Linked DNA regions of Lonchura striata. The protein of the gene in region 3 purifies or fractionates together with the protein of the main gene of each other region. This does not show direct contact. Links are inferred from orthologs where the notes say so. Each region holds a gene or a part of one and is shown on either strand. Other genes may lie near its edges.

What was found.
Region 1: the proteins of NUP133 (region 3) and NUP37 purify together in Homo sapiens (affinity purification with mass spectrometry; 4 studies listed by BioGRID and IntAct, with this or other methods). This does not show direct contact. The link is inferred for Lonchura striata from reciprocal best matches to the Homo sapiens genes NUP133 and NUP37.
Region 2: the proteins of NUP133 (region 3) and NUP85 purify together in Homo sapiens (affinity purification with mass spectrometry; 5 studies listed by BioGRID and IntAct, with this or other methods). This does not show direct contact. The link is inferred for Lonchura striata from reciprocal best matches to the Homo sapiens genes NUP133 and NUP85.
Region 4: the proteins of NUP133 (region 3) and protein ELYS purify together in Homo sapiens (affinity purification with western blotting; 3 studies listed by BioGRID, with this or other methods). This does not show direct contact. The link is inferred for Lonchura striata from reciprocal best matches to the Homo sapiens genes NUP133 and AHCTF1.

The regions. Positions count from the first base shown.
Region 1 is NC_134607.1:19,258,080-19,265,970, forward strand, and holds the start of NUP37 (nucleoporin Nup37), read right to left. Parts: upstream 3,016-7,891; 5' UTR 2,944-3,015; intron 2,908-2,943; exon of another isoform or gene 2,765-2,907; intron 1,458-2,764; 5' UTR 1,394-1,457; coding exon 1,238-1,393; intron 1-1,237. Other genes in the region: PARPBP (PCNA-interacting partner), read left to right, coding at 4,263-4,412. UniProt on the Homo sapiens protein: Component of the Nup107-160 subcomplex of the nuclear pore complex (NPC). The Nup107-160 subcomplex is required for the assembly of a functional NPC.
Region 2 is NC_134621.1:5,353,833-5,361,625, forward strand, and holds the start of NUP85 (nuclear pore complex protein Nup85), read right to left. Parts: upstream 3,011-7,793; 5' UTR 2,976-3,010; coding exon 2,943-2,975; intron 2,842-2,942; coding exon 2,748-2,841; intron 2,663-2,747; coding exon 2,500-2,662; intron 2,147-2,499; coding exon 2,076-2,146; intron 1,745-2,075; coding exon 1,701-1,744; intron 967-1,700; coding exon 897-966; intron 18-896; coding exon 1-17. UniProt on the Homo sapiens protein: Essential component of the nuclear pore complex (NPC) that seems to be required for NPC assembly and maintenance. As part of the NPC Nup107-160 subcomplex plays a role in RNA export and in tethering NUP96/Nup98 and NUP153 to the nucleus.
Region 3 is NC_134605.1:43,277,522-43,284,798, reverse strand, and holds the start of NUP133 (nuclear pore complex protein Nup133), read right to left. Parts: upstream 3,010-7,277; 5' UTR 2,991-3,009; coding exon 2,806-2,990; intron 1,689-2,805; coding exon 1,570-1,688; intron 776-1,569; coding exon 672-775; intron 1-671. Other genes in the region: ABCB10 (ATP-binding cassette sub-family B member 10, mitochondrial), read right to left, coding at 6,100-6,391, 6,924-6,958. UniProt on the Homo sapiens protein: Involved in poly(A)+ RNA transport. Involved in nephrogenesis.
Region 4 is NC_134605.1:32,730,913-32,738,337, forward strand, and holds the start of protein ELYS, read right to left. Parts: upstream 3,010-7,425; 5' UTR 2,968-3,009; intron 2,727-2,967; exon of another isoform or gene 2,620-2,726; intron 1,767-2,619; exon of another isoform or gene 1,670-1,766; intron 1-1,669. UniProt on the Homo sapiens protein: Required for the assembly of a functional nuclear pore complex (NPC) on the surface of chromosomes as nuclei form at the end of mitosis. May initiate NPC assembly by binding to chromatin and recruiting the Nup107-160 subcomplex of the NPC.

The DNA.
Region 1 (7,891 bases), on a different chromosome or scaffold from region 3:
CACTTCCAGAACATTGCTCTTGAAACAGCAGAAGACAAAAAGGTACTCTCTGTCATCTAATCCTAATTACAAGCTTGCTTATTCTTACCATTGATATGAACACCAGATAACAGGAAAAATAAAACAGGAGTTGGGATTATGGACTCCATCAATAAGTTGACCTCTAAAACGCTTTTAAAAGTTTTCAGTACATCCAATGGAGCACCTCAAAAGATATTCCTACACAATTTTCTCTATGTCATAATTCTGTTTTAAGATAAAGAACCTCTCTGTATGCCCTCTACATAATGTAGAGGCCAAGCAGAACCCAGCTGAGGATGCATGAAATTACCCACAGTTTTTCAATGCTTCTCAACAGGAAGAAAGAACAACATTTTTCTCTCCTACTGTGACATGGTCATTGACTCCACATGTGGAAGGGGAGGATATGAAAATTATAGAAAAAACACCTTGTGTCAGTGGTTATAAAATTTGAATTACTTCCTTTCCAAGGCCTACATCAGAAACAAGGTAGAGAGGAACACAAATATCAGTATGTTTTTGTGGTTAGCTCTTCAGAAAATTTACAACAGTAAGACCATGGGGAATAATAATAATAATAATAATAATAATAATAATAAAGATATCAGCTACACTATTAATCATAATAGACAAATTACAAAAATAATATTGTGTAATAAAGAAGCAAGATGAAGGAAAAAAGCTTCGAAATTCCAAGCAATTGTCTTCAATTGATTGTCAAGCATCTAGGCAAAAAACTCATCTAATGAAAAACATTTTATCCAGTATAAATATATTCAATACTCAGTATTTTCCATTTAAAAATTTTTCACAATATAACTGTAAATAACTTAAAGGTAAGATGTTTTACTTTACAGACTGTTACAGTCTGTAAGGGAGATCCAGTAAAAACAACTGTGAGAAAAAAAAAATTAGGTAAGTATTTCTACAGTTCATCCCCAGAAAGAAATATCTATAAAATTAGTGCAGATATATCAGTGTGTATTTTACATACATATATATATATATATATATATATATATATATATTTCTATTTTCCTGAAAAACAAGTATCCTAGACTTGTTAGTGTATTAAACAAGTAAAATTCTCCCTTGTTTACCCCAGCAAGAGGAGGAAACAGGAAACAGGAAAGTGACCAGTCTTTCTGCAGTAGAGGTGCTGGCAAAGTCAGTTTCAGGGGCATCGAACAAAAACAACAGTATAATACAGACTAACCTGAAATCTGCAAGTCCCAACAACCACATAATTGTTGCCACCATAAGCAATGAGGGAACATGGATCTCCACTGTCAAATGGATTGAATTTTACCACGTGCACATAATCCTCGCAATCCACAGTGTAAGAAATGTTTCTAGTAGAATCTTGCTTCATTTTCAGTGAACTAAGTCAAGGTATCACGGAAACTGTGTCTTCTTCAGGACAAAAATCCACATTCCTACACAAAAATTTAAAAAAGCATAGATGACTCATTGCATGAATAAAAACCGCAAAGTATTTGTGGCAGAGTAAATAAAAATTTCTGTAACATGTTCAAGAACACAAAAGCTGCACTTAAGTTTATTAGATGTAGCCTGTTTGTTTCAGAAATCAAAATATTTACTAAACTAACATACATTCAAAACTGTCTCTTTCTGACTTCAGCAATAACTGCAGATCTTGTACTACCCTTGGCAACCCAACACCAATACAAAAAACCAAGTAACTGCACATACTCCAGAAGAGTCGCGAACAGCATTTTAACATTTTCAACCAAATGAAAAGAAACAACACATCACTACCTTCAAATTCTCTTTACTTGTCTACCTCTTTATGGACTGTGAGTCTAACGAAAAACTGAGTTAACCAAGGTTGCAAAACTGTAAATGAAAACTCTGTCGCACATTCAACCAGTTTTCATGAAAATCAGGTTTCTGTACTAGAACACAAGAGGCCAAGACACACAGTTGATTTCAGAATCAATTCCTTGTAGTCCCAGTACAGATTTGAGATAAGCTTATGTCTTTTTGGGAAATCAGACCTTTAACTACACACCACGTGGAAAATCAGCTTGAAATCTCAGACCTTTGACAGATTTTGGTGTGTAAATGACCTGAAGGTCTCAGCATTCAAGCCCGAATGTTTAGCTTGGGAGCCAGCCAGGTCTGACAGAGGCATCACTCAAACACAGAGAGGCTCTCCGTAGTTATGTGTTTGTGTATTAATTCATACAACAGTCCACTATATTACCATAAATACTTTAGCCATATAACTTGCATAGCTTTGCTACTAAAGCCAAATGCAAATTTTAATCCTATCAAAAGTTTTTTTCCTTCAAGGCTTCCCATGAACACAAGCCTTTATAAAATCTTAGAGTGTTAAGGGTTTAGAACAGACCTTTAATATCATGTAGTCCTAAACCCCGCTGCCTTGGGCAGGGATACCTTCCACTAGACAAGGCTGTTAATGCCTCATCCAGCACTTGAACACTGCCAGGATTGGGACAGTGGCTAACCATTCTCACCGTAAAGTATGCCTTCCCCAAATGTAACTGAAGTTTCCCCTCTCTCAACCAAAGAAAGTAACCATTGCTTCTCGCCCTATCTCTACAGTCCCTCTCCTCTTTCCTGTAGAGCCACTTGAGATGCTGGAAGGTGCTTTGAGATCTCCACTCAAGTTCCTCCTCTCCAGGCTGAACAACCCCAACTTTCTCAGCCTGAATTATGGGCTGCCAGACCAGCTTGAAAACACCAAGAGTAAGATTACCTTCATTTCTTTAGAAAGCACGACTAAGGCAACCAGACCGCGTGGGTGCGCGTCACCTCCCCCATCCACGCGCATCCTTTGCCCTCCCTCCTTTTCCCTTCGGGGCCCAGCTGCTGCTCCCCAGCCAGGCTGCCCGAGCTCCCCGGGCCGGGGGTGGCCCAGCCCCGCTTCACACGCACCTCGGCACGCCGGCCGCCGCTCCCGCCGGGCCCGGCCGTTCCCAGCAGCGCCGGCCGCGGGCGGCGGCAGCGGCGCGGCTGCTTCCGGGGCAGCGGCCCCGCGCCCATTGGGCCGCGCGGCGGATTTGAACGCGGCGCGGCCCCGGCCCGGCCCCGCCGCAGCGGCAGCGCCGGCACCGCGCTCGGGGCACCGCGGCGCCCGCGATGGTGATGCCGATCCCGGCTTCTGGGTGTTAGGGGCGGCTCCGCAGGGGTTGTTCGGGCTGTTTCGCTGGGAGCGACAGGTATGGTCCCCTGGAAAGCTCGTAGGGTGGGGAGAAAGAGAAGCCTCCGGAGAGCTTTTACTCTGCCCAGCGCTGACTTGCAGCGCGCGTGTTTCATCCGCTGTGACCCCCCCCCATGCGACGTTGTCCCCTTCAAACGTTTTGGACAGTGAGAAGTTGCTGCTGCAGTCGTGCCTGTTTCCTCCCTGCCCCTTGCCCACACGTTTTGGACAGTGAGAAGTTGCTGCTGCAGTCGTGCCCGTTTCCTCCCTGCCCCTTGCCCACACTTCCTCGTTTTTTGCAGTCGTGCCAGCAACCGAAAACCGAACCCGCTGTGGTCTCTGCTTCGGCTGTATGGGAAAAGGTCGAAGGTTGAGTTTTGTTTTCTGGAGGTAAATGGGATAGGTATTGCTCCTGTACTGTCCTGGCGGTGTTAGGGAACTTTGTTTCAGAAAAGAACAAGTTTAAAGGCAAGTTTGTACCACATTGTCATGTACCTTGTCTTGACAAATGCAAGAAGGTGAGAGAGACCAAAGCATGAAGTAGCCCAATTATCGCCAGAGAAGATAATGCCTTATGGAAGTAAAAAAATCAAACTTAAAAAAAAAAAAAGGGAAAAGACCGTATCGGTAACAAAAGTGTTTAGAGTTGTCTGTGTTAGTAACTCTTAGAAATATTAAACATCTCTTTTTCCAGGATTAAAACGTCCTCATAGACACTCACCTGAATGTATAGTGAATGCAGAAAGTTCTGAAGATGCACTGAGGCTGCTTTTGGAGACAAATACTGTGATATCTGTGATAGCATTCCTTTATGTTGGCATGATATGCAAAGAAAATAAGGACTTTAAAGGTGTGACATACTTACACCCCTTACTTTCAGACTTGCTCTGTCATAGTGAGGCAAGTCTGGTTTAGCTGGAGGAGTTTATTCTAGGAACTTGGTCTTTAAGAAGATACAACAGGATTTGCACAGCTTTTTGGGAGGTGAAGACCTGCATATGTCTCTGGCCATAATTGTTTTTCACTTGATTATATCTATTGTCTAGTCTGGACAATGGTTACTTTTCAGCAAAAAATTTTACACTTGATCAAGTGTTTCAGAAGACAATGGCCTTTATTTTCCAACTCTGAAAGAACTACTGTATGTGGAGCAGACTGCATGTTGATGGCGTTACAACTGTCCATGGCTGAAGTCAATAAACAGGTTAGTGTTCTTGGTACTTGGCACACCTCAGACTTGGTTCCCTGGCTGCACTTTGTGCTTAAGCACCAACCTGAATTTACTTTGTTGTTGTTTCCTTCCTGTTTGTTAAAACAAGGTATGTCTGAGGGCCAGATGCAGCAAGGCAAGAAAATGAATATTTAAGAGCACTATTGAAGTGGGGTTTACAAAAAGGACCTGCAAGACAGATGGGAGGATGGAAGTGCTTTTATGTGTATATTTGAGCTCCAGCCTTTAAACAATAGTGTATTTCTACTGACTGTGTCACTTCTGTTTATTTCCATCCAATGTTTCTTTTGTGCTATAGATCAGGGTAAGAGAACTATGGCATTTGGGGTGCATTGTTTTTCTGAGTGCTCCCAAGAAGATTTCTGAATGGCATGTGACGAACATGATTACAAAACTGATTTGGTATAGTTTGTGCAAGTTGTACTTGCCACAGACCGTTCTTGGCTGCTGCTTTTCCTGACATTGGTCAGGTGGAGACCTATGTGTACCTGTAAGTTGTGAGTGTGTAGCCAGTACCAGGAGGAATTTTACGGCTTTCTTTGTGTGTGCACATGAAGTGTCTGTCAAATGTTGAAAAGGAGGAATAACCCTAAAGTGTCTCTGAAAGTAGCCTATGGCTCGTCAGAGGTGGAGGATGTCTGAAACATACCAGAAACAGTTGCAATATACAATCAGGCCTTTGCCTCTCATCTAAGGAGAGCTATCACAATACTTGTTTTAATAGTTTAAGATACTTTTTTAGGTTTACTAACCTAATTATTGATCAAAACAATACTGACTGGTTTTGGAAGACTTACTCAAGTGTTGCATAGTAAGTCAAACATGTAGTACAAAGCTTTAGTGTAAGAAAACCAAAACAAATGTACCAAATCAACAAACATACCAGAAACAGCAGAACCACATCAAAGTGAAATCCGTAAGCCAATTAAAAAATCCAAACAAACAGAAAACCTTCAGTTTGTGCATCAGAAAAAGATTTTGTAGTCTAAAATACGCAGACTAGGAATATCTCTTGCTAAGCATTAAGTATAAAACTGGTTAAGTCATCCCCCACTGTTAGATATGTTACAGTAAGGGTACAAGAATGCCAAGATACTACATTGGTACTTTTTGGAATGTAATATATTCCAGCCAGGAGCCTGGTGTCCTCACAATACCTATGCAAGCTGAAATGAGAACATCAGCATGCATCAAAAGTAACTCTTGGAAAACTGATAAAAGACATTAATGCAAAACTACATATGGAGGTGACAGCTGTTTGTCATGTTCGTTGTGATTCTCAAGGGAAAACTGCAAACAGTTTTCCAAAGCCAGCTCTGGGAACTAAAATATGTTGTTCCGCTGTATGCCAAAATTTACAGACATGAAAAGGTTATGGTTCATTGCTCCCTGTTTTCCTTGCAATAAGTTTTTTCTTCCACTAGAGGTAATTAGTTTATTCTACTTTATCCTTTTTTTCCTCTTCCAGATAATATTCCTCTCTTCCATAAATATCTCTTCTTTCAGAAATGGTCTAACAAAAATTATAGCAGTTATTTTCAACTAATTTAATTTTGAAATGTTTAGCTTCTTCAGATCTGAAGAAAGAACAAGTTTTCAAAAACCTGATTTGTTTTTTCTAGTTGGTCTAACAAGACAAACCTTGGTTTGTATATGTGGATTAAAATTATTTTAGGACTTGCATGTGCTGCCTCTGAAGCACAATTTCTTCAGATGGTATCCATTTTCAAGTTCACAGTCTTAAAACAGAATCTGTCTGGTTTATTTTGTTCAGTACTGAAACTTCAAACTAAGATGCAGAGTATTACATTTGTAGACATGTCACTTGTTAGGTTTCTGATTTAAATACAATAATTTGAATTGTTAGCACCTGTAGAATGGAAATCTATTTTAGTAAAGTCAATTACTGCAATAAAAATAATTCATTAACAGGCTGTATTGGGATAAACCCAACACATCCAACCTATCACAAATAACCAAAATACACTTCTCTTCATTTAGGAGTTTGGACAGTTTTAATGGATTTGGTGTTTTAATTGGTACCTGTATCCACAGTGGAAATGAAAAATAACAAAGCTTTTAGGAGAACTCTAGGAAAGTTTAAAAGCTTCATAATCTGTTAATCTTAAATTTCACCATAATAAGGATAGAAAAAAGTGTGATAATCCCTGATCCAACAGTAGGGATGAAAGAAAAAAAAAAGCAAATCTGTGGTCTGAATCCCTCTGAAAATACTTTGGGTTGTAGCCATGTGGCATAAGGTCTCTGAATAGAAGTAAATACCTTTCACCTAGATTGATTAGTATAGATCTAAAAATCTAGAAACATTTTCAAGAAGATTCTTCCTCAGGGTTTGAAATAATAAGAAAAGTTTTCAAGATGAAGTTCAGCTGAGGGTAATTGCTTTAAGTTGACTGTTTGTACCTGTGGATCATCAGGGGTAGAAGATGAGTTTTTGGTCAGATAATCACCTGTCATTTTCAGACTATGGCTGTTTTAGCTAGTGGGATGGGAAACTGAAGTGTATAAAACAATTATTTTTCCAGAATCTATGAGTTTAAATTGTCAGACTTAAATGTGTTGGAAATCTTTTCTAGAATGAGAACTTTGATACTGGAAGAGAAACTGCTTCTTTGTTGATTTTAGAAATTATCTTCCCTTTAGAAATTTGTTTTTGTATATTTCTGATTTTATATAAAAGCAGAAATATACAAAATGTTTGGTTTATTTCTGTTCTGTGCTTCCGCAAGTGCATTTGGATGCCGACTGGAGAATATTATGTTCTGTTTAGTATCTTTATTTCTTGAAATGATTTCCCAAATTGTCCTGTTTCCAAGTTGGCAAATGAAGAAAAAAGTGGAGTTTTACAGTGTTACTCCCTTAAACTGTTCTGTCTCCCTTTTGGTAATGAGATACTCCTGACTAACTTTGTAGCAATTTCATGTGATGTGCTGCTTGTAACATGTTGTAATGATGCTACTAAGTGAGATTGTCTTGGCTGTCCTTCAGCATGATTAATTTTTCACAGAATCACAGAAGGGTTGAAGTTGGAAGGGAACTCTGGAGGTCATCTTATCCAGCCTCCCTCAAAGGCACCTGTACAGGTGTCTTTCAAGTTGTCTCTGAGGTTGGAGACTCCATAGCCTCCCTGGACAATGTGTGCCAGTACTCAGGCATCCTCAGAGTAAAAAGGTGTTTCCCGATGTTCAGAGGGAACCTTCTGTGTGTGTTTCAGTTTTTGCCCATTGCCCCTGCTCCTGCCACTGGGCACCTTAGGAAGGCTCCTGCCTTCATCCTCTTTGCATCCTCCCTTCAGATATTTGTATGCTTTGAGATCTTCCCTGGGCATTCTTTTCTCCAGAATAAACAGCCACAGCTTTCTCAGCCTTTCCTCATATGTGAGGTGCTCCTGTCCCTTCATGATGTCTGTGGGTGATACGTTAACTTCCTTG
Region 2 (7,793 bases), on a different chromosome or scaffold from region 3:
CAGCAGGAGGGGCCCAGCTGTGCAGGCAGATTTCCCTCTGTCAGTTCCCACCTCTTTGTTCCCAAACTGCTCTCGCACATTTTATAACAGTTTGACATCACTAGATGAGATTTACTGACTGGATTTCTACCTGCCACCCCCAAATTACAGAGCTCCTTATGCAAAGAGGCCCTGGGAGCACCCAGCCTCTGACAGGTTTTCCTGTGGCAACACGGTCCAGTAGAAAACCCACACTTGAAGAAATAAAAAATGAGTGATCCAGATCATAAATCTTGCAATGCCAAGAGACAAACAGAATATTTCTATTTATTTTAGCATAATTATTACTAACTGAATAGGTGGAAGAAATTTGGTACTAGGTGACCAATTTAGCTTAAGTAATCTATAATTTGCAAGTCTCTGCTGAATTCTGGGACTGTGTAAGTAGCACATTTATTTGCATAATATGATTTCCTTCAAAAATTATTTCCTACTTTAAAAGACCAATGTAAACAGACTGACTTCAAAAATGGCAACCTAAAGTTAAAGGAGTTATATCAGAGCTGTGTAAATGTCAACTGGCATCGACACATTTGATGTTTAAAGACATGTTTAAGCTTATAAATAAAATAGATTGGCAACAACTTTTGATATCCCTCTGCTTCATAACCTTTCTGACAAAGAAACAATTTAAATCAGAGCGAGGAAGAAAAGTAGAAGGAAAATTGAATAGCTTGGTATAATTCAGTATAAAGAAGGCAGTTAACTGAGGCAGAAGGGATATTAAAAGGCTTACTGACACTGCATACCTCTAAAACATTAAACTATGACACAGGGAATATAATACACATTTTAAACAAAGAAATATGCAAAGAAGAAACCCATCAGTCTTTACACCAGCATAGTTCACAGCTCACCTGTAGCTGATTCAACAAACAGAATCTCACAAAGGTTCCAGATCAGCTCCATTGCGGAGAGAATGGAAACCTGAAGGAAAGCAGGGCCAAGTTTCAGAAACAGTCATTCCACCTGGGTTTTTTAACCACACAAAGGCATCTGCTGTCCACAGAAATCAGTTCTTACAGAGAAACATCATACTGACATTGCAGAGATAAAAATTAAAAGACACAGGCCACAATTTCACACTCTTTGGTCAGAGAACACTGACACTGTGTAATGAAATGCAACAATAATCTGTCACCAGTGAGCAATATAACTGGTCTTATTTTCAGCCTTTTAAGATTCAATACAAACATCAAAGGCAGAAAGAACAGCCAATGAAGCAACACCACTGCAGCTGATAGGACAGAGCTGGTGTGAGCACTCTGCTCCTCCCAGAACGCTCTGGTGGATCTGACAGCTCACCCTCAACACCCAGAGGTTGCTGTGAGGCTCAGATGCTGCTGATTGGAATCTGAGAGTTTGAGAGGTGAAACACCACACAGCAAGTCTGAAACTTTTCTTGTCAGCTTTGGGATCACAAGAAAACATCACATCTAGAACAGAAAATATGTTTACAACATTGCAGTGAATTGAGGTGTTTGGCATCTTTATTGTTTCAGAAGCACAGGAATTAACTATTTATTTCAATTTATTCTTGGTCATGAACTGCATCTCATATACAAGACAGAGTTAAATCTGAAGTGCCTCGTGCCACAGAGGTGGCCTGGTGAATTCACCAGGCAGTAATCCACGTTCAACCTGACAGGACTGCAGATTACCTGAGTGCTGTACTGGCCTTGCAGGGCAGGGTCCTGGGTCGAAACTGAAGGAAAAGCAAATAAAGTCAAAGAGCAACATATTTACATTTGCCAGCTGCTTCTGAGCTTTGATAGCTTTCCATATATCTGCCACATGAGATACGAAAAGGCTGCAAGTCCCCAGAAAATCAGTTACAATATGGTGGGAAAAAACCAGTCCATGACCAGATTCACAAACCAACGTGGAAATATCCCACATGGAAATAGAATCTTGCCAATTACTGAAACCTATACATGTTATTGTACAGCACTTGCAGTAAGTTACTATTACAATCCTACTTTTGTAATTGCAACTGGTGTTTCCTTTTCTTGCAGGAAGAGAACAAACAAACTTACCAGCTGCCTGGTGCATGTCCTCCATGCAGGCTCTTATCACTGACCGGTAGTTTTTACTCACTTGAACCAATCTGCCAAACACAAAAAGACTTTGATTGGAGGGAGCTGTTGGAGTTTTAGTGTTATGCCCCCTATAACTGCAAGTTTCTCTGCAGCAACAACTCCCATTACCTGGGTGGATCCAGCTGGAATCAATGAAACTGTACCACATTCTACTAGCATGGTTATTGGAAGGATCCGATCCTTGATTTATAAAATATCCCCAAAATAGTCATTCTATCTGCCTCGCTGCTGATTCCAGAGCTGGTGAAAGCAGCCTGGCCAATGGCACTTGCCCCACCTGAGGCGTTCGTCAGCCCTTGGCGCTGGCCCCGGCTGGAGAAGGGGCAGCGGCTGCCTCCTTCGCATCTCCCCATCCACTCACTGCGCCTTCCGCGACTTCCCCGCCAGCTCCTCCTCGCTCCGCTGCAGCCCCATGAAAATCCCGTGCGACTCGTTGAAGAGTTTCCGCAGGGTCTGGATGTAAATGTCCTGGTCCCTGCGGACCACGAAGACGCAGGAGGAGCTCGGTGCTCCATCCCCGGTACCTGCAACAGAGCCCGTCAGCGCCCGGCAGCAGCGCCCGCCCTGCCCTCACCCAGAACCGCGATGGGCACGGGGAGCGGAGCCCACCTGCGCGGCCGAAGAGCGTCTCGCACACCAGCACCTCCGCGGGGCCCCAGGCGAAGCAGAGCTGCCGGGCCGAGGGGTCCGCGCCCGGCACCACCTGCGGGGGGACGGTGTCCGTCAGCGGCGCCCCGTTCAGCCCCGCAGCCCCCGGCCCCGCAGCCCCCGGCCCCGCAGCCCCCGGCCCGGCCCATCCCGCACCACCAGCGGCGGCTCCGCGTCCGGCTCGTCCATGGCGGCGGCCGCGCTGCTGCCGTTCCCGCCCGCCGGGCCGCTGCCGTTCCCGCCCGCCGGGCCGCCGAGGCCCCCCGGGCTGCCCGCGCCGCCGCCTGCGTGCCGCGAGCCCCCGCCGGGCCGGGGGCCGCTGTGCCGGGGGAGCCGCCCGGGCGCCGCCGGGACGGGAGGGAGCGCGGGTCCCGCGGCCCGGGACAGGCACCGGCGCTGCCCCCGGAAGCGCCGCCCGTGCGCGAGGCCCCGCCAGGCGGACGGACCCGCCCCGCCACCGCCCGGGCCGCCGGGCCTGAGCGCCGGGGCTGCGCCGAGCGGGCTGTGGGGATGGGGTGGGCTGGGGTGGATGCCAGCCCCTCACGGTGTTCCTCATTTTCTTGCCAGGACAGATTCAATGCTGGCTGGGAGCACTGCTGGCCCCAGGTGTGCCGTGCAGTGATGTCGTTGGTCAGTCAGCGTTCACAGATTCACCGAATAGGTTAAGTTGGAAGGACCACAAACTCGGGTCCAAACTGCCTGCTGCAGCAGGCTCATCTCAGAGTGCATGGCAGTGCGCTGTGTCCAGACAGTTCTGGAATATCTCCAGTGAGGGAGACTGCGCATCCTGCCTGATCTCTGTCCAAGTGCACAGTCACTGTCAGTGTTTTCACGCTTCATTGTGTAACAACCCATGTCTCCTATTTCCTCATACATGTCAAACACGTGCAGGTTGAGAAGCCTCTGGGATGTTGAAGGTGATGCTCTCTGGAGCTCTTGGGCATTGATAAAGCTGACTAATCAAATTATGTGCTCTGACTTCAGAGAGTTGCCTGCAGGTTCGGGAAGGACATGTAATGAAGCAGGATCAAAGCAGGAAGAACTGCCACTGTGCTTCACTCACTCACTCACTCCCTGCCTCAGGGTCCAGGAGGAGGTGGAATATCCCCTGGACACTGGGCAGAGGTGCCTTCTGAGGCTGCTGGAGGCTCATCACCTTTCTGTTAACACTGGGAGCTCACCTACCATGGCATTCAACTCAATGCCATGGTGTGATAAAACACTCACAGCACCCTGCTCCTCTCCTTCCATTCTGCTCTCCTCCCTGCTTCTGTGAACTCCTCACTTTTTGCCTGTGCTAGCCAATAAGCAAGTTCTTCAGCAATATACTTTTTAAGACAAGTATTAGCAGTGCAGCTTTGTTGGTCTCACAGCTGGAACCAGTCCCTCTTAGGCTGGTGCCTTCCCAGAATGCTCACTAAAAAGAAACTTTTCAAGATAATGTAAATAATTTGCTGTCCTGTATGACAAATAGTGCAACACTCCATGGCTAAATTGCCCTTTTTTACTTATCAACTGCTGCATCCATCATTTCCAATAAAAATAAGGCCAGCAGTTATCTCTGGGAAGAGCATGTCATGTAACCAGTCATGCTGAGAAAAGAAAGTGGTGTCTCTTCAGGTCAGAACGAATAAATTTTTGCAGGTAGAACAAATTAAACATTCCAAAAGCTGCTTGAGAGACTGAAGACTCATCAGTTTTAAACCTGTCGTTGTTTATCATGGGTAAGGGTCTCTGTTTTGTTATTTGAGGATGTGCCTGTATTTTAATCTGCTGTACAAAGTCAAATTCACCTTATTGTCTTACACAATGGTGCTGCTCTGTGCTGCAGACTTCTGAGGATGTTTGTGGGCATTCCTAGATCCAGAATACCATTCCACACATCACTAAAAGGCTCTATATGCAATTCAAAACCGGATGTCTAAAAACCCAGGGGTACGAGGCCTCCTGCCACTGTTCCTCAAGGCTAAGGTGCTGCTTTTATAACTGCAGCAGATTCTTGTGAGTGGCAGAATATATTTAGAACATCCATGTAATACTGTGTAGAGATCCACCGTGTGGGAGGTTGATCTAGGAGTGGGACAGTGTCCTCTGCTGCTCCCAGGTCCATCTGTGGGAAGAGACACTGAAAGCTGGAACTCTTTGATCTTCTCCTGCTGTCTCTTGGCACACAGCGTCCACTTTGCTCTCTCCCTAAAAGTGTCAGTGGCTTTTCATATCCGCAGCATCTGTTGTTCATAAATGGATGGTTCCTGTGGAAATCATCTTGGAAAAGGTGAGTTTTGGTATGAAATCTTGACAATTTTTGGTCCTCTTGAACACTGGCTGGAGCTCTGCACATACCTAGAAAGGAAACCTTCCTGCTCGAGGCTTCTGTGCCTCTCAGTCCATATAATTGAGTAGAGTTGGGAATTTCCATGTCAGCATGGAATTTCACATTGCTCAGAAAGGCTTTGGAGTATGGGCTGTGGGTCCAGCAAGGGAAGCAAAGAGAAATTGTGTGGTTTACAGTCAGGAGAAAAAGAGAGAAAAAAAGATCTGATTAGGACAGGAGTTACTACCTTGTGAAATAGGAGGTTTGGAAGCTATTTGGGGAACAGAGGGAATGATCAGCATCATGAACAGGGAAGGCACAGCACAGGCAGGGCTATAGGCAAAAGGTATTTTCTATTCCCAGGGTTAAGCCAGAATTAATGAAGAACAAAGCCTGAGGAAAGCACTCAGACCTGCAGAGTCTGAGCTGGTAACCCAACGCACTCATTCACACCAAATTACTGAGTGCTTTTTGTTATTGCATTGGACTCAGTACAAAGTAACACTCAGTTTTGAAGGGGCTGGAGTTGGTTTTATAGGCTAATGTTTGCTGATGTGCAGGAGCATGCACCTTCTACCTGTAGCTGCTTTGGTATCAAAAAACTTAATATTTTAAAATCCCAGCATGAAGAACATGTATATGGAATGCCCATGTTCCCTGCCCTCTTCATCAGAGGGGGGAGAATTAAACCAAAGAGCTCTGCAAAATCTAGATTTATTCCTTATAAAACTGCAGTACAAGAGTGAAACAAAGTATGGAAATACTTTAAGAAAAAAACACGTGGAATTTTTTTCTCCCAAAGATGGAATTTCTCAGGAATTTTCACTGTGATGCTTCTCCATTCACTTCCCTTCAGCTTGGTGCATTGAAGAGGAGGAGCTCAGAGGGACAAAAACCTTTGCTTTGCTCCCCTCTGCTGCAGCCCGGACCCTGCAGGAGTGGAGCTTTTGTAGTTCCCAGTGTGGCTTCTCCCCCCGCTGCTTTCTCCCAGTGCTGCTGTCTGGCCTGTTCCTTTGCAGGTTTTAGTACTGATCATTGTCAGCTCCAGTTTCTCAGAGTTTCCTCTGTTGCTATGTAAAAAGAAAAGCCACACAGAGATGAGGTTTGTATAAACCTGCTCTGTGATTTGGGATCTGTTTGATTGGTGGTGAGACCAGTGCTGGTGCATCTGAAGCTGTTTTCAGCCTTTCTGAGCACATCTAACTCCCATATGTTCTGATAAATCCTAGAGTATTTTCCTGTCTTTTTTAGCACATTTGTTCTATTTGTGATGCTGCCTTAACGTGTGTCTCACTTGGTGTCATTTCTGCCTTCAGTTCTTTCATGCCACGCTCAGGCCTTGGCCAGCTTCATCCCACCTCCCCAAAAATCCTCCTCCTGGGCCTGCAGCACAGGGATCTTCAAGGAGGGAGGGGGAAGAAGTGAAAAGAACAAAATACAACAGGACCATCAAACCCCTTGAGCCCTTCCTCACACATCTCTGTGATGTTGCATCATCTCTAAAAATAGAACTTAAGTCCATTGGGAATCACAACTCATCTTTTGCTCTGTGAAGTACCCCTTGGGTTGGGAGTTTTGCTTTAAAAAGCCATGGATGAGATAGATAGAAGGGTGGGCATTAAGATGCTTTGTTTCCTTGTTCTCACTAGTAGAGTGACAACTTCTTAGTAGTAATGATCAATTTGAGAATGACCAAACCAAGTTGCCCATTGCTTTTCAGAGCTGGAATGAAAGGAGAAAGAAGACTACAGGAGCCTGAGGCATCACACATGAAGTGGGATTTGGGCAGAAGTGCATGGTCTTCCCCAGCCAGGGTGCTTCTCACCTCCCAGTACCTTAAACAAATAAAAAAATAATAGCATGAGTAATTAAACACAGAGAAAACAGGCAGGATCAACTGATAGATCTTTTGATGATAAATCAAGTAAATTGATACAGGTAGGAGTGGAAAGCAGAGCTCAAAGGATGATCTGTTTGAATTGCAGTCACAATTTGAAGCAGCATCTGTTGCCTTCTTAGGTTGAACTGAACACTTCCATGCCTGGGATTTTTTCAGAATTGACTCATTAAGACTCTTCAGGGGAAGTAAAATACTAAAACTTAAAGGTTCTATGAAATTTCAGGCTAAAGTTTGGACTGCAAGGGATTGTCAAAGACCACTGCTCACATTTTGTGGAAGCTCAGGTGGAAGCCTGGGACATCCTCCTGCCTCATGGCTGTTCCATTTTCTCAACTTGAGACTCAGATAAAGGTGTGGCTTCAGCTTCCTCTACCCAGTGGGTATTACTCTTCTGCAATTTCCAGAAAATGGCAGAAAAACTCCAATCTGTGCTCAGAAGGAGAGAGCTGGAATGTGAAGTAACATGACAAAGGCAGAGCAGAGGGACCAGAACTGACAGAGCAAGTCTGCAGCTCTGCCAGTAAGTGAAGTTTCTCTTCAGTCAGTATTTCACTGTGTGAGCAGTTTATTCTGGACAAGGAACATCTCTGAAATGGTGCAGAAAGTTTTGTCCTACCAGGAACGGGGGGTGTGTAACCACACAGCCACCTTGGTGTCATGACTCAAGAGTGTTCCCACATGGAACAGCACCAGTGTGGAGTGATACCCACCTGGAAAATCCATCCCTGGGGATTGACAGGGGTAATTTTTGTGAAGTTTCTTTTCCATCTACATGACATAGAGAAGCATTTGA
Region 3 (7,277 bases):
AGAACTTATTAACTACTAACAGGGTAGAGAAGGGAAACACACCCCACTCCCCTACACCCTTGAAGTTAAACAACCAGAAAAATTGTAATCCCTTGAGAAATCTCTTCAAGTGCCAGAATGTGTACACCTGACACTCCTCTGTAAGTGCAGGACCTATATAATGAACATACCTTGTCTTGATTGAAAGAAAACTGATTTTGTAACTCTGATTTTGTTTTTCTCCGACTATCACTGAAATGATGCTGAAAGAAATACTGTCCAGAGAGGATACAAAAATTCTTGACCTAAGAAATCTAGGTGAAACGTATGTTCAGTAACCTCCGAAATTAACCATGTTTTTGGGGTTTGTTGCAACTTGAACATATCAACCAGATTTCAATTATCAAAATAAACTTTGCCAAGACTATCTAACCTAAGAGCTACACCCATTAAAATATGAAGAATTAACCTTAGTGCCAAGGTGACAAAACAGAAGAGAGGAATATAAAAATTATAAGCTCTCTCAAAAGCCTGAGTTTCAGTTACTGTTGTTAACATGACTTCATATCAATCCTGCTACTTTTGAGGAAAAACACACAAACTCCAACTGAAAAAAAAACCCCAACCCCATAATTGCGTTACCAGTTGAAATAGCATAAAATACAGACTTTCCATCTTGACCCTTCAGTTACCTTAGCTACTGCAGACTGACCAATCTTCCAAATAATCAGCCTCTCCTTATGAACTAGCCAGGCCCATCCACTTTCATCCACTTGAACGCTCAGCTGGTCATCAGCTACATAAAAAAGTAACTTCTTTAAAGCATTCAGATGTTTAAAACACTGCAGAGCAACATTTAAACCAATAAACTTTCATTCTTAAATGAAAATAAATATTTTCTATTAAATTAGTTTCCATGTTAGAATGTCCATCTATTTGATTAACATATCAAATTACTACATCTTGTTTAAAAATCCATTTGATAAACCCTCAACCTTTGAGAACGAAATGACAACCCCAAAACCCATTTCCTTGTATTTAGAGCAGATTTTAAGAGCTTTGTAAATCGCGCAACAATTTTAACATTATTTTTCAGAAATTTATTGGGTTCCTCTTATATCTACTATAAAGGAAAAACTTATGCACAGAGAAAAAACTGTTTAGGAGACCAATTTCTTGAACTCAGGGAATGGTTTGTATCACTAGGGCTTTTGGAAGAGATAACAAATGGGAATTGAAATAAAGAAAAATATTAAGCATCCACTCTAGGACACAGCAAAATCAAAACAAGTAAAAAAGGTAAGGAAGAACCAGTAAGTAAAAGTTACCAAAAACCTACTATTGGCTTTTCTTGTACCCTTGGTTTTATACAATAAATTGCATAAGCAGCACCTGAAGGGTATTTTCATGCATTCACACCCACATGGGCATTATTATAATTATTGTTACATATACAACCAGGTTGGATTCAAAGCAAGGCACAGACATTTTAGCTTCCCCTATAAAATCAGCATTTCAATGGCATCAACAACACATTAAGAATTCTCTCACCTGTCAAGTTTCATGGAGAAAAATAACATCAATTCTTACCATCAGCCTTCTTCAGGGCTTCCATAACCTTAACAGGCAGAGAGGACCCAAAGGCCTTAACATCATAGTTAATAGTCTCAGTTGCTGTAGGAAGCTGGATAATTCTGGTAGGAGTCGCTCTTAAACAAAACAAAAAGTTACAGTCAACTTTTTATTGCTTATTCATCAGTTTCAGCAGACATTTACTTCACAAGTATCTATTTAGAAACAGATTTATGTAAAATAAACATGCTTTCTCTGGGAACACCACCTAAAGCAAAAATTTGGTGGCTTCCTTACAAGTTCCTAGCTGTCATCAAATTCTTCATTTTTAAAGAACTGACTTTGAATACGCATTACTCCACCAGCAACAAACTCACCGTTCAACCTCTCTACACTCTGGTTATCTACAGAATGAAGACATTCACAATATCAGAAGAAGCTCAGCAGAAGCTCTTCCCTGACTGCAAGGACTAGTTCCATCCCTAGCTCTGGCACTGCTGGGCAGCACACGCTGTGCAACACTTTGAACAGCCATGGCAGCTTGGACCCAACAGCACTTCTACCACCCTTAGCTTGCTGCGGAGACTGCACTGACTACCATTTATAAAAGCTTCATTGTATCTTTCTCCACCTTCTGACTCTGGAACAGCACAGGTCTGTGTTGTCCTCTGGACACAGTGAGGTGGGCAAATTTATCTGCTTTTACAAGTTAATGCCCTCTTTTTATGTCTCCTCACAAGTGAATTGATGCCTCACACCTCCCTGTGTGAAATGGCAGAAGTTGATATATAGCTAGTAGACATTCCTGGCACCCTGAAAAAATTATTATGCAGACTTAAAGTAAAAGTTCTCCAAAACTGAACACTGGCAATCCTCTTTATCTTAACTGTACGACAAGTATCTTCTCCTGAGAGAAGAAATTATGAAGCCTGAAACTGGTCTGGGGCTCATGCTGTACCTCAGGGAGAAGACGGGGGAAGAAGCTGGGGAGAGACGCGGGTGTGAAATGCCTGAACTTTACTATTTTAGCTTATTTTTAAACACAGAAGTTCTTATAATTTTCATATCTCATAATTGTATCACACGGGGGTATATTTGAGGAACTCGCGCATTTAAAACCTAGTATGAGGTATTCACACCGCTGGACACGGAGCACCGTGTATGTGCAGCTTTAATGTACAGTACTGTGATATAACCCAGGCTGGCTCGAGCAGCTAACAGCGAGGCCGGGTCTGAGGCGAGGGGCAGACTCACCGCGCCGAGAGGGAGCCGCTCTTCCGCGCCACCGGCGAGAACAGCACCGGGGAGGCGGCTGCCGCCACCACGGGCAGGCCCTTCTTGCCGCTCGGCCGGGAGAGAGGGCTGGGCGCGGCGCTGCCCAGGGTCCTGCGGGCCGAGCCGCCCGGGGTGCGCGGGGAGGCGGGAGCCGACGGGAACATGGCTGTGGGTGCGGGAGCGGCACCGGCACCGCGCTGCCGCCGGGCGCCCGCGGAGCGCGTCACCGCGGGGCGGGGCCGCGCGGGAACAGCCGGCAGCCGAGCGCGGCCGAGAGGCGCCGAGCGCGGCCGAGCGCGGCCGAGCGCGGCCGGCAGGCGCCGAGCGGGGCCGAGCGCGGCCGGCAGGCGCCTAGCGGGGCCGAGCAGGAGCCGAGCGGGGCCGAGCAGGAGCTGAGCGGGGCCGAGCGCGGCCGGCAGGCGCCGAGCGGCACCGAGCAGGAGCCGAGCGGGGCCGAGCAGGCGCCGAGCGGGGCCGAGCGCGGCCGGCAGGCGCCGAGCGGGGCCGAGCAGGAGCCGAGCGGGGCCGGCAGGCGCCGAGCGGGGCCGAGCGCGGCCGGCAGGCGCCGAGCGGGGCCGAGCAGGAGCCGAGCGGAGCCGAGCGGAGCCGAGCGCGGCCGGCAGGCGCCGAGCGGGGCCGAGCAGGAGCCGAGCGGGGCCGAGCGCGGCCGGCAGGAGCCGATCGGGGCCGAGCGGGTCCGAGAGGCCGCAGGGCCGGCCCTGAGGGCGGAATGGCGGCCCGGGCTCCTCCCCCGCGCTGCCCGCCCTCAGCCGAGCTAAACACGGGCCTCACTCACCGGCCCTGAAGCTCCGTTCTTCGGGGCGCTCCCAGAGCATTCACAAGGGTGGGCTTGGGTACCATTCCCCGCCGAGTTCACGCGATTAGCTTGCACTAACCATCTGAATATGACCAAAAAGCAGCTGTTCAAAGACTATTTGGAAAGACGTATTTTCCAGCCTTATCTTTAAAATAGCCTGTGCATACCTGTGTTTGTCCCCACATTTCTAATTAAGTAAATAAATAAATACAGAAAACCATTTTCCATACAGACCTTGGCACGTTTCACATCTACGCTAAATAACAACCATGCACGACAGCTATTCTGTGGTATAAAAATAGATTTTAGCCTTCAAGGGGAACTAAATGCTCAATGGCATCAGTTAGCATTAAAAAGCTTTCAGAAGGTAAGTATGTACCACACTTGGGGAAGAAGTTGAGTTGAATGTATAGTATTAACAAAGCAAATCAGTTAAGATAAAATTAACTAAAAATAGAATATTTTTAAAAATTGCATAACTTTTCAAAACCATGGTTTTTGATAATAGATTCAGGGCTGTTAGACTTTCTATGTGGATTATGGTCCTCTATGACTGAACCCAAATGGTGACATTCAAATTATTTGAAAAACTGAAGGCTCCTTTTCACAGCTTGTTCCTAAAATATTTGAAACGATGCAGCATGAGAATTATGTTTTGCTGATTGAACCCTATCTATACGCAGCTACACTTCCTCAGGGAATTAGTCGGCTTCCTTTGGCTGTCTCAGCCCTGCAAGAGCTCCATCTTTACAAGATACAATTCAACATTCAAATCTAATTTTCTGCACAAAAATAGTTTGTACGGATACCAGTTAGAGACTTAACCACTTCTTGACTGTCCCATAAATATCCAAAAAAGTCTTCTAAACAATGTAACTGTTATGACATACATTTACCTTTTCGTGGACTAGAGCTTTTGTGTAGCTTTTCACACTTCTCTGTCAGCTGCACTACCTGCCAGGACAACTAATGAACAAAAGACATGAAACACTCATTCAGTTCAGCTGGAAGGAATTCCTGTAACCTGTGTAAATACAGGAATAAATGGGCTCATTGGATCTCAAATAAGGAGAAATCACATGAGTGAGGATTAAAGCTGCAAACCCCTCTAAATACATTAATAGTCAACAATGAAATTAAACATTGGGTCGGGAGTATTTTTTGCATAACTTTAGTACAACATATGCTTCTAGGAAAATTTTATCTGAAGATACAATCACATCTGGATGTAATTTTATTTTCATTCTCTAATAGTTTCACTGTATTCCACAAGGTGCCACTCATGGGACGAACATTTTAAGCTTGCCCAACACTAGGTATTTCAGCTATTGTGAATCAGGTCTTCCAGCATGGATGAGTTTTAATGTGACCTGGGAAGTTTCTAGCTTTGTAAAATCTTGTGGGGTTTTGCATCTTCAGAAATTCTATTGAAAGACTCTTCAATCAGAAACATGAAGCAAACTCTTCACTCTCAAACATATCCCCCTGCAGTTATTCAAATTAATGTAATGCTGCTATTTTACTAGTTGTCCTTGAAAATGTTGTTTACTAGTTGTTTCTAATAAAGTAATTAGGCAAAACTCATGATTTCTATCACTGAAATTTTAATTAACAATACAAAACTTATATATGCCTTAAAAAGGACAAAAACATATATGGGAGGGCATGTTCTTTTGGATGCCATCTTAGAGAGAAAGTGAAACTAAAGAAATGAGAAAATAGAAAACGGAAGAAAATGCATGAAAATTTTAGATTTTCCTATGTGACTTCATGTGGTAATTTGTTAACAATTGTTAAAAACAATTTCCTTTGTCCTTTTGTAAAGAAAGTTTTTTTGTTTGTTTGCCTTTTTTTCCATTGGGTGGTTTGTTTTATTAAAGAACTTTCCTCCAACTTGTGCTTTCATACCCTTTTCATATGTAATTCTCTACAGGAACTGTAGATGGGGATCACAGTCAACTTCAGAACACATAATCACATTGCAGAACAAATGGTATCTGGAAGGACAGCGCAGTGGAAGTCCGACAGAACTTTCACAGTGCGTTTGTGTCATGCATTTTTGAATTCCATCATTTTAAGACTCATGACAAGCACAAAACATGAAAGTTCCTTGGAAAGAGAGAGACAATTATATGAAAATGATAAGACTGTAATTTAATTACCTTTAAAATACTGAATTTACTTGAGAATGGAGCACATCTTCATACAATGCATTACAGCAAACAAGATTCTAGACAGTTTCAAAGTAACACAAGCAGAAAAATCTATGCCCTGAAATGATCTCAGTGTGACAGACATTTTTAAAAGTTACAATAGTTACTAAAAAGCTTTCAATAAAAAGTTTAAACACATTTAAGTTTCAAAATAATATTTTGTACATTTTGGAAAAATATAACATTTACATAACTGAAACATAAGTTATAGTCTTTGAAGTTTGTAATTATTCATACATTGTCTCATACGTTTTCTTTTAATATATCCTTTTCTCTGGATTGTAAATCTAATGCAAAAGTATCATTATTCTGAAGAAAAGCTTGTTTCTGCATCAGTTTCCTGAAAAGTCCATTTGGATTTGCAAGTAGTTCCTCATGTTTCCCACATTCAAGAATTTTACCCTGGCCAAGGACTGCAACGGAATCTGCATTTTGAATAGTAGACAGACGATGAGCAATAATTAGGACTGTCCTCCCTTCCATCAGCCGGTCCAGAGCCTCTTGCACTAGATACTCATTTTCAGCATCCAAAGCACTAGTAACAAATGGGAGGGGATGGGAGAGAGGAGAGGAGGATATTTGTTATTGTAAGGCAGGTTGGTTTTGTACGCATGAGGCTTATTTTGCCAAAACTGCAAACCCTCTCTATTTGTGGTGATGATGAACCACTGAAACTGCAGGAAAGTTTCATGAACATGCTCAGTGCTCACATCTAAGTTACAGTCATGACGTATTCTCAAATGCAAAAATAAGCATTGGAAAATAACACCAAAGAAAATCAGTGGAAAAAAAAATCAGTTACACTGCACAATAAGCCTAGTTGTTTTACACTAGGATCTAAACTTAAACTACAGAGCCAAAAAAGCCTTAAGTAGATGTTTCAAAATCATGTTACACAGTATGAATTTAACTCAATGAAAAATCACAATGCACCAGCTATCCTTTCTGCTTTGCATAAATCTAAATAATGTATAATGATATGGAGAGAGAGAAAGAAAGAGAGCGAGTTCCCAAATCTGAGTTTTACAGGTACATAATTTCTAAGTTTCTATTTCTTTTCTTCTTACCTTGTTGCTTCATCTAACAGAAGAATTTTAGGATTCTAAAAATAAAAAAATTAAATTGGTTATAATAACAATTAAACAAGATCTGAATATTCATATCAATAGAGAACAGGATTCATACAGTTTAAAACTCCAATTAGGAGTACCTACTTCATCAAAAGAACTGAGCACCATTCAAAGCATTACTTCTAAGAAATCTAAATGCTAAGAGGACAAAACAAACAACACTCCTCAATTTTCAAATTTTCCAAACTAAAATAGCAGAATACTATTATGAGATAACCATTTGAAAGATACGAACTAAAGAGGGGAGATTATTTCTAAGGCATTCTTGGCAGCATCGTGGTCAAAAGTTCT
Region 4 (7,425 bases), about 11 Mb from region 3:
TACATGAGGTTCCTGTCAGCCTATTTGTCCAGCCTGACAAAGCATCGACTCTGACAACATGTATTAAGGAATTTTAGAAAAGAGCATAAAATTCCAGAATTATTGCAGTTAATAAAATTGTTTTCTTTTTCTTGTAAATAAAAATGGAGATGTCTGTATGGTAAGTATATGATTATTAATACCATATACCACAATAATAGCAAGATAGTTTTAAGAAAGGAGTGAACAAGTATCTTTCAGTAGGGCAGGTAAGAGCATGCAAGGAAACTTCTCAGCTGTGTGGTCTCCACGAATCACCCTGAGCGACCCTACCTGCTGTGCCAAGAGCACAGAACCTTGTGTGGCTAAATTGGATATCAAATTGAAACGTCCTCTACTGCGGAGATTTGAGTTTAAAAAACAAACTCCTCACCATCCCAAAAGAATTCTTCACAGATGAAAAGCTCATATGTTAACACAGTGTACTCCTGCCCACTATATTAAAAAAATCGATCCACAAACACCAGTAAGAAACATCAAGTAAGTAGAACTCCAAGACCTAAACCATTTTTGTACAAAATGAAAATACTAGAGCATCAGGCATGCTCAGTTTTGCTCCAGTAAGGCAATGACCAGTTTAAACAACTCTTTTTGCTTTTAGAAATCAGGCATGGAACAATGTTGATTTATAACAAATTATGAACAATATATACTGACCTCTCTGTAAGGCTGCTTTCCTTGCATCATTTTGCTAAGTTAAACCAAGAACTGCTAAGAAATCAAAACAGAGGGGAAATCCTTAGATCTAGATTAAAGGCACAAAGCCTCTCAATTTCAAGAGATATATCCAACAGCAACTGCATTTCAGCTCTCTTTGAAACAATAACTACAATCACATTCTTATTTCTCTTAGAAATCAGATTAGGGTAAAATGTCACATGCTTACTCTATTTTCAGGAATAAACTAGAATTCAAGCACCCAGCTGTATCCTACAGCAATGCAGTCTGCATGCAATTTGCCAAAATGAGTATTCTTTTTCACCCTAGGAACTTATAACTTCCAAACACCACAAACTATTTCCAAAGACAGAAATGTCATAAATTTTTGGATTACAAAGCTTGGGAGAGGGGAGAGGGAAGGAGGGAAAAGAAAGAAAGAAATTGTGTGTTCAAGCAGAACTACATACAGCCAAATCAGAGTTCTGAGATGTCAATTTTGACTGATGGTATTACACAAAAATCAATTTAAAAGGCCAACAACATTATGGGCTCACTGAAGAAAATGCTAAAAATATGGTCAGTCACAGCTGAAGACAAGATTTCACAGGACATGTTGGCATCACTGACATCAAAACAGAGACCTTGCTGCCATTTCTCATCTCCTATTTGTTCCTTTGTTCTACTACTGTATTTTCAAAGACATTTCCAGCATACCACACTGGTATGCCATCCCACTGCTGGCCCTTCTCAGCACAAATTCCAGAATCACATCAAAGAGAAAGACCTGCCAGAATCACACATGACCACCTCTTCTAAACACCCTGCTCAAGCCATCACCTAGAGCAGGCTGCCCAAGGCTGTATCCAGATGGATGTGGAACATTTAATTCTCCAACAGGTTTTTACAACCAGCAACATGACAAGAGCAATTACAGAAACACCTGCAACCCATGCAACAGGGTGACTCTTACTTGCCAATTTAAGGATTCTATTCTCTCCACACCAGCAAACCAGCATCACACCAGAAAAGGCCTGTCACCACTGCTTCTCCAAAACTATGTCCGACACCTTATTAGGCAGAAGACGCATAATTAATAGAAGCTTGATCACTCTTGAAAAAGCCAATCACAGGCAAATCCATGCACGAAGGAGAGCTGAGGCAGCATGTAAATGAGGAGCTGTCCTGACCAAGATACAGAGCTGTGTGCCCAAGTGCATGGGACAGCTGCCAGCCAAGGCTGACACAAGCAGCCAGACTGGCCCTGCAAAGGCACCTGCACGGCCAGGCACAGCCCTATACCCCAAATGGGGTGCAGCCATTCCGACACAAACAAGTCCCTCAATTTCCTCCAATTTCCCCAGACACGACCAGGAAGCAATCATAAGACCTGGAAGACTGGCACCAAGCATTCTATTGGCAGAAGCTCCAGACACGGACTCACAGTTTATTAAGGAACTGAGCAGTTTTGTTTAAGCAAGCAGCAACTCTGCTTCGCGATGTTTCGCTTCGTGCAAAGACGCCGAGACCCCCACAAATTGCACTGCATTCTTCTAAAGCTGTGGCCTCCCCACTGCACCCATCTCACGTCCCGCAATCGCCGCTCTACGCACAGAGCGCATTTCCCGCCTCCTCATGGAATACAACCCCGACGCCCGGCGGGGGAGGGGGAAGCCGAATTAGAAAAAAGAAAAACCCTCCAAATACACGACCGAACGGGCGAGAACAGTGGGCGTGCGCCGGGCAGGAGGGAAAGCTACTGGCGGCAGCCGCCGCATCTCCCACGTCCCCCAGCCTGCCAGAGCCTGCCGGCTGCGGAGCCTCCCATGTGCGCTGCCCAGGCCGCGCCGCCCGGGCCTCTCCCGCCGCCGGGGACCGGGGCACGTGTGGCGGACACAGCGCCGCAGCCCGGGGGTCACTTACATAAGGGACAGGCAGCCGGGCCCGCCCGAGGCCCCCGCGGGCCCGCGTCAGCGGCGGTGTCGGCCTATGAGGCTCGGGAGCGGCCGGTACCCGCTGGTACAGGGGGGAAGGAAGAAAGGGAAGAACGAAGGCACACGGGCGGGCGGGCGGGGGTCGCCGGTGCCGCCACCTCCGCCGCCTCCTCCTGTCCGCGCCGCTGCCCCCAGCCCAGCCGAGCCCGCACTCCCGGTACGTGCCGGTGCCGGTGGCGGCGGCATCTCCCTCCCGCAGCGGCGACAATGGCCTGGCCTGGCCTGGCCTGGCCTGGCCTGGCCTCGCCCGGCCCGGCCCCGCGCGCCGCGCACCCACCTCGCTCGCTCACCCGCCGCGCGGGGGGCGGGACGGGATGGGCGGGCGGGGGGGCGGGGGGGCCGAATTCTCGCGATATCCGCAGCGAGCCTCCGCGGGAATTTTCAAATGCGCGGGACACGGCCCCGGGCGCTTGCGGCGGCAGACTCCGGACTACGGATCCCGGCGTGCCGCGCAGCGGCTGCTTCCGCTCCCACCCCGGTGTCTGCCGTCTTCCGCGGGGCACGCCGGGAGCTGTAGTTCGTGGGCTGGCAGGACCGGCGCCCGGCCGAGCCCGTTCGTGGCCCCCGGGCTGCACCTGGTGGGGACGGCTCTGCTCTCCTGCCCCGCCGAGGGGAGCCGCCGGCACAGAGAGAAATGGCCCTCCCTACCTGTGTCCCTCTTCCTCCAACCCCGGTCTATCTGGATTTCATTAAATCGCACAATGGTTTGGGTTGTGTTATGTATAGTAAATATAATTCGCGCCATTCCTTGTATGAAATATGTAATATTGGATGCTTGTTAAATCATGCCCGTTGTATTAGTTCCTCCCCCCCCTTTTTGTAGGTGAGACTTGAGTGTATACTGGAAACTGATTTACAAGTAAACAGATGTGGCTCGGCCGGGAGATGGGCCATTGTCTGCTGATCGTCTGTGCTGATCGTCTGTGCTGATCGTCCAAGATGGATATCATGGAAATACTCAGATCCATGTGAATGAAGCCTTTCCGTAAACACCCAACATTGAATTTTTCTCCTCATCACCAAAAAGAAATCCTTATTAACATATGGACTCCGAATAGAAGAAAGGACTGATTGCTAAAACCTTGGCCTCAGGCAGAATTTTCCCTATAAAAACCGCCTGTGCCAGGATGGAGGTGTGTGGGCATAGGGGAAAACCTCTGCTGAGGCTGACTCCTTGTTGCACACCCAGGGTCGACCCCGGGCTCGGCTCTGTCCTTTCTGTGTGGCTGGCTAGATAGAATTTGACCGTTAATAAAATTATTTTTATTTTTTAATCTGGCTAAAATAAACTCTCGTTTATAACAGTTGGAAGGGACTTTAAAGGTCATGGAACTGCAGCCCCCCTGCACGGACAGGAACACGTCCCACTGAACCAGGCTGCTCAAAGCCCTGTTCAGCCTGGCCTTGTACACTCCAGCAGCTTCTCTGGGCAGTCTCTTTCAGGGCATCGTCATCCTCACAGTAAAAGACTTCCTCCTACTATCTAATCTAAACCTACACTCTTAGTTTGGATCCATTCCCCTTCTCCTGTCACAACATGTTCCTGTAAAAAGTCCCTGTCCATCTTTCTTGTAGGAGCCCTTCAGGTACTGGAGGGCCAGTCATTAGGTCACCCCTTTAAAAGGATTTAAAGGGGTAGGCTATTTAGCTGCAGTTTTCCTTTTAATTTTAATAAGAAATTGTATGTAAAATCCCAACAAATTAACAAAAAATTAATGTTACACTGTTAGTCACCAAAAGGAGAAAAAGTAAATATGAAGTCAGAAGTGTAAGTCTAATGCTACTCCTTTCAGTGTATATATTTTAATGTGGTTAAAAGTGTTCTTTGATCTAAAAAAAAATATTTTCAGATACTGATAAACAAATAGTCGAGAGGAAGGCATCCCTACCCATGGCAGGGGTATTGGAACAAGATATCTTTAAAGTCCCTTCCAACCCAAGCCATTCTATGATTCTACGAAATTTGCAATGCTTCTAAGCAGAAGAAGAATCATCAAAGGGGTGGCAAAGGCATTTAATTTTTCCCATCATACATTATGCCTAGATTACAGCTATGCCTCTTAATGTTGAATTGCCATTATTATATTATTATGCAAATCTTTTTTGTGACTTGGTGCTGCTGTTGCCACTTTAGATCTATTAATTTTTTATCATACAAGAGCACAGGTCACGGAGAAGGAACCCACCATGCCAAGCAAGAGGATTTCACAGAGCAGCCCAGCCCCTGACCTTAGGGGAGGCTGTGCACAAGTCCTGGGGTGAGACAGGATTTTCCTGCAAAGAAGGAAGCCTGGCCCTGGCCACCATCTGATGGCTGATGGCAGAGCTGACTTTTACATGTGAGAGGCTGTGTGTGAGAGAGACAGATCTGGGGTGGGCTATGGAAGAGCTCAAAAGCAAGGACAAGCAGCTCTCATCTGATGTGACAGAGAGTAGGGAGCTAAGGGAAAAATGCAAAGATTGGCATGGCAGCACCAGAGGACCAGCTAGACTTATATCCTTTACAAAGACATGTAGAGTGATTGTGTGCAGGAAAGGGCTGTATTTACTGAGGGAAGGACAAGTGTTTTGGCAGTAAGCACAATTCAAAGTGGCAATTCAGAGTGGATGAGAGCCTTAGCTCCATGCATGGAGACAGAAAGGCTTCATGTCAGAAATTATTTGTGGAACAATGTTTTCAAGGTTTGGGTATGATCTGAATAAGGACACGAGGAGGAGTCTGGACCAAAGCTGCCCCCCTGTCATAGGCATATGTGAACATTGGCCTAAACAGCAGCTGAGGGGCTATGGGATGAAGTGGGCTGGTTTAGCCAAGCTTGAACTTCAAGTGACAGCAAGGCTTATCTGAGCAGGCATCATGGGCAAGGATGCATTTGGAAAAAAGGGTCTATGACTCATCTTGCCCAGTTTTAGGTGTCTGTGTTACAGTCATCAATGCATTCAGCTGGACTCTCTTTTTAGGTGAGGAAAAGAAACAGCCCTTTCCCGAGTGCCTCTCCTGGCTGGCTTTAGATACCTCCTACAGGATTAGCTGTAATGGCAGCCTAGGTGACATTGTAGGTAGAGGCATCTATATTGTACCCTTTTACTTGTGGTTGGCTTGATCTCTCTTTTAGAGATTTGTCTGAATAGAGCACTGGATTTTTAAGCTGCTAGGGAGTTGATTTTATGTTTGTGGTAGGGATTACATAGAGATAAGTAACAGAAGAGAAAGAGGACAAGAACACAATTTTATACCACCTATTCTAGAGTCTGGAGAGCAAGATAAAGAGGAGTCTCCAAAAGGCATGGTCCTCAAGCAAGGGAAGGGAAAGGGGAGGGTAGAGCTCTGAATGACAGAGAGAATAACCTCTCAGGGAGAGCTAACTTATGGCAAGTGCCTGACAGGTGGTGGGAGATATAGGGGAGAGATGGAGCTGCCTAAGAGGAGGTAATTTTGAGGCTTCCACAAAAACAGTGCTGATTGAATGTGGGGGCAGGTGCCCTATGAGGGAGAAGGGGTTTCATGAGGAGTCCAGCCTTTCACCGAGTTTACAAAGAAAAGAGAATAGAGGTGCATGTTTGTACTGGGTTTGTGTGGCCAGATTTTGGTCGTGGAGGAACCTCAAGGGTGGCTTCTGTGAGAAGCTGCCAGAAGCTTCCCCTGTGTCTGGCAGAGCCAATACCTGGAAGCTCCAAGACAGACCTGCTGTCTGCTAAGGCCAGGCTCATAACAATGGTGGTAGCTCGTATGGGGTAACAGATTTAAGAAAGCAAGAAAAGGCGCAATTCCAGCCACAGAGAGGAATGAGAATATGTGAGAGGAACACCTCTGTAGACACCAAGGCCAGTGCAGAAGGAAGCGGAGGAGATGCTTCTGTTACTGGAGAAGAGATTCGCTTGCAGCCTGTGGTAAAGACCATGATGAGGCAGCTATCCCCCTGCAGTCCCCTCTGGTCCATGCCAGAGCAGATGGATGCCCAAAAGCAGACTGTGACCCTGTGGGAAACCCACACTGGAGTAGGCTCCTGGAAGGACCTTTGGACACCATGGAGAGAAGAGCCCACCCTGGAGCAGGTTTGCTGGCAGGACTTGTGATCCCTCAGGGAACCCATGCTGGAGCAGCCTGTTCCTGAAGGACTGCACCCCTTGAAAAGGGACCCACACTGAAGCAGTTCATGAAGCACTGCAGCCCATGGGAAGGATTCCCATTGGAGAAGCTTGTGAAGAACTGTCTCCTCTGGGGGGGAGTCCACACTGGGGCAAGGGAACAGTGAAGTGTCCTTCCCTTGAGGAGGAAGGAGCAGCAGAGATGCATGCTTAATGGGGCTGCAACCCCCATTCCTCTGCGCTGCAGAAAGGGGAGAAGGTAGAGAAAATCAGGAGGGAAGTTGAACCCAGGAAGATGGGAGGGGTGGAGGCAAGACATTTCAATATTTAGCTTTTGTTTCTCATTGTCTCACTCTGATATAATGTTTAAGAAATTAAGTTCCTTTTTGCTGAATCAAGTCTTTTTCCCATGACAGTGACTGGTAAATGATCTCTCCCTGTCTTTATCTTGACCCATGAGTTTTCATTACATTTTCTCTCCCCTGTCCAGCTGAGGAGGGGAATGATGGAGTAGTTGGTGGCTTGTAAACAATAAGAGTATTAATAGTTGCATTTATTGAAATGAGAAAGAGCCAGAGAAGAGTGAGCAATTAACAAGGTAAAATGAGTATGGGATAATTAAGGAGATGAGAGAAAGTGGAACCAA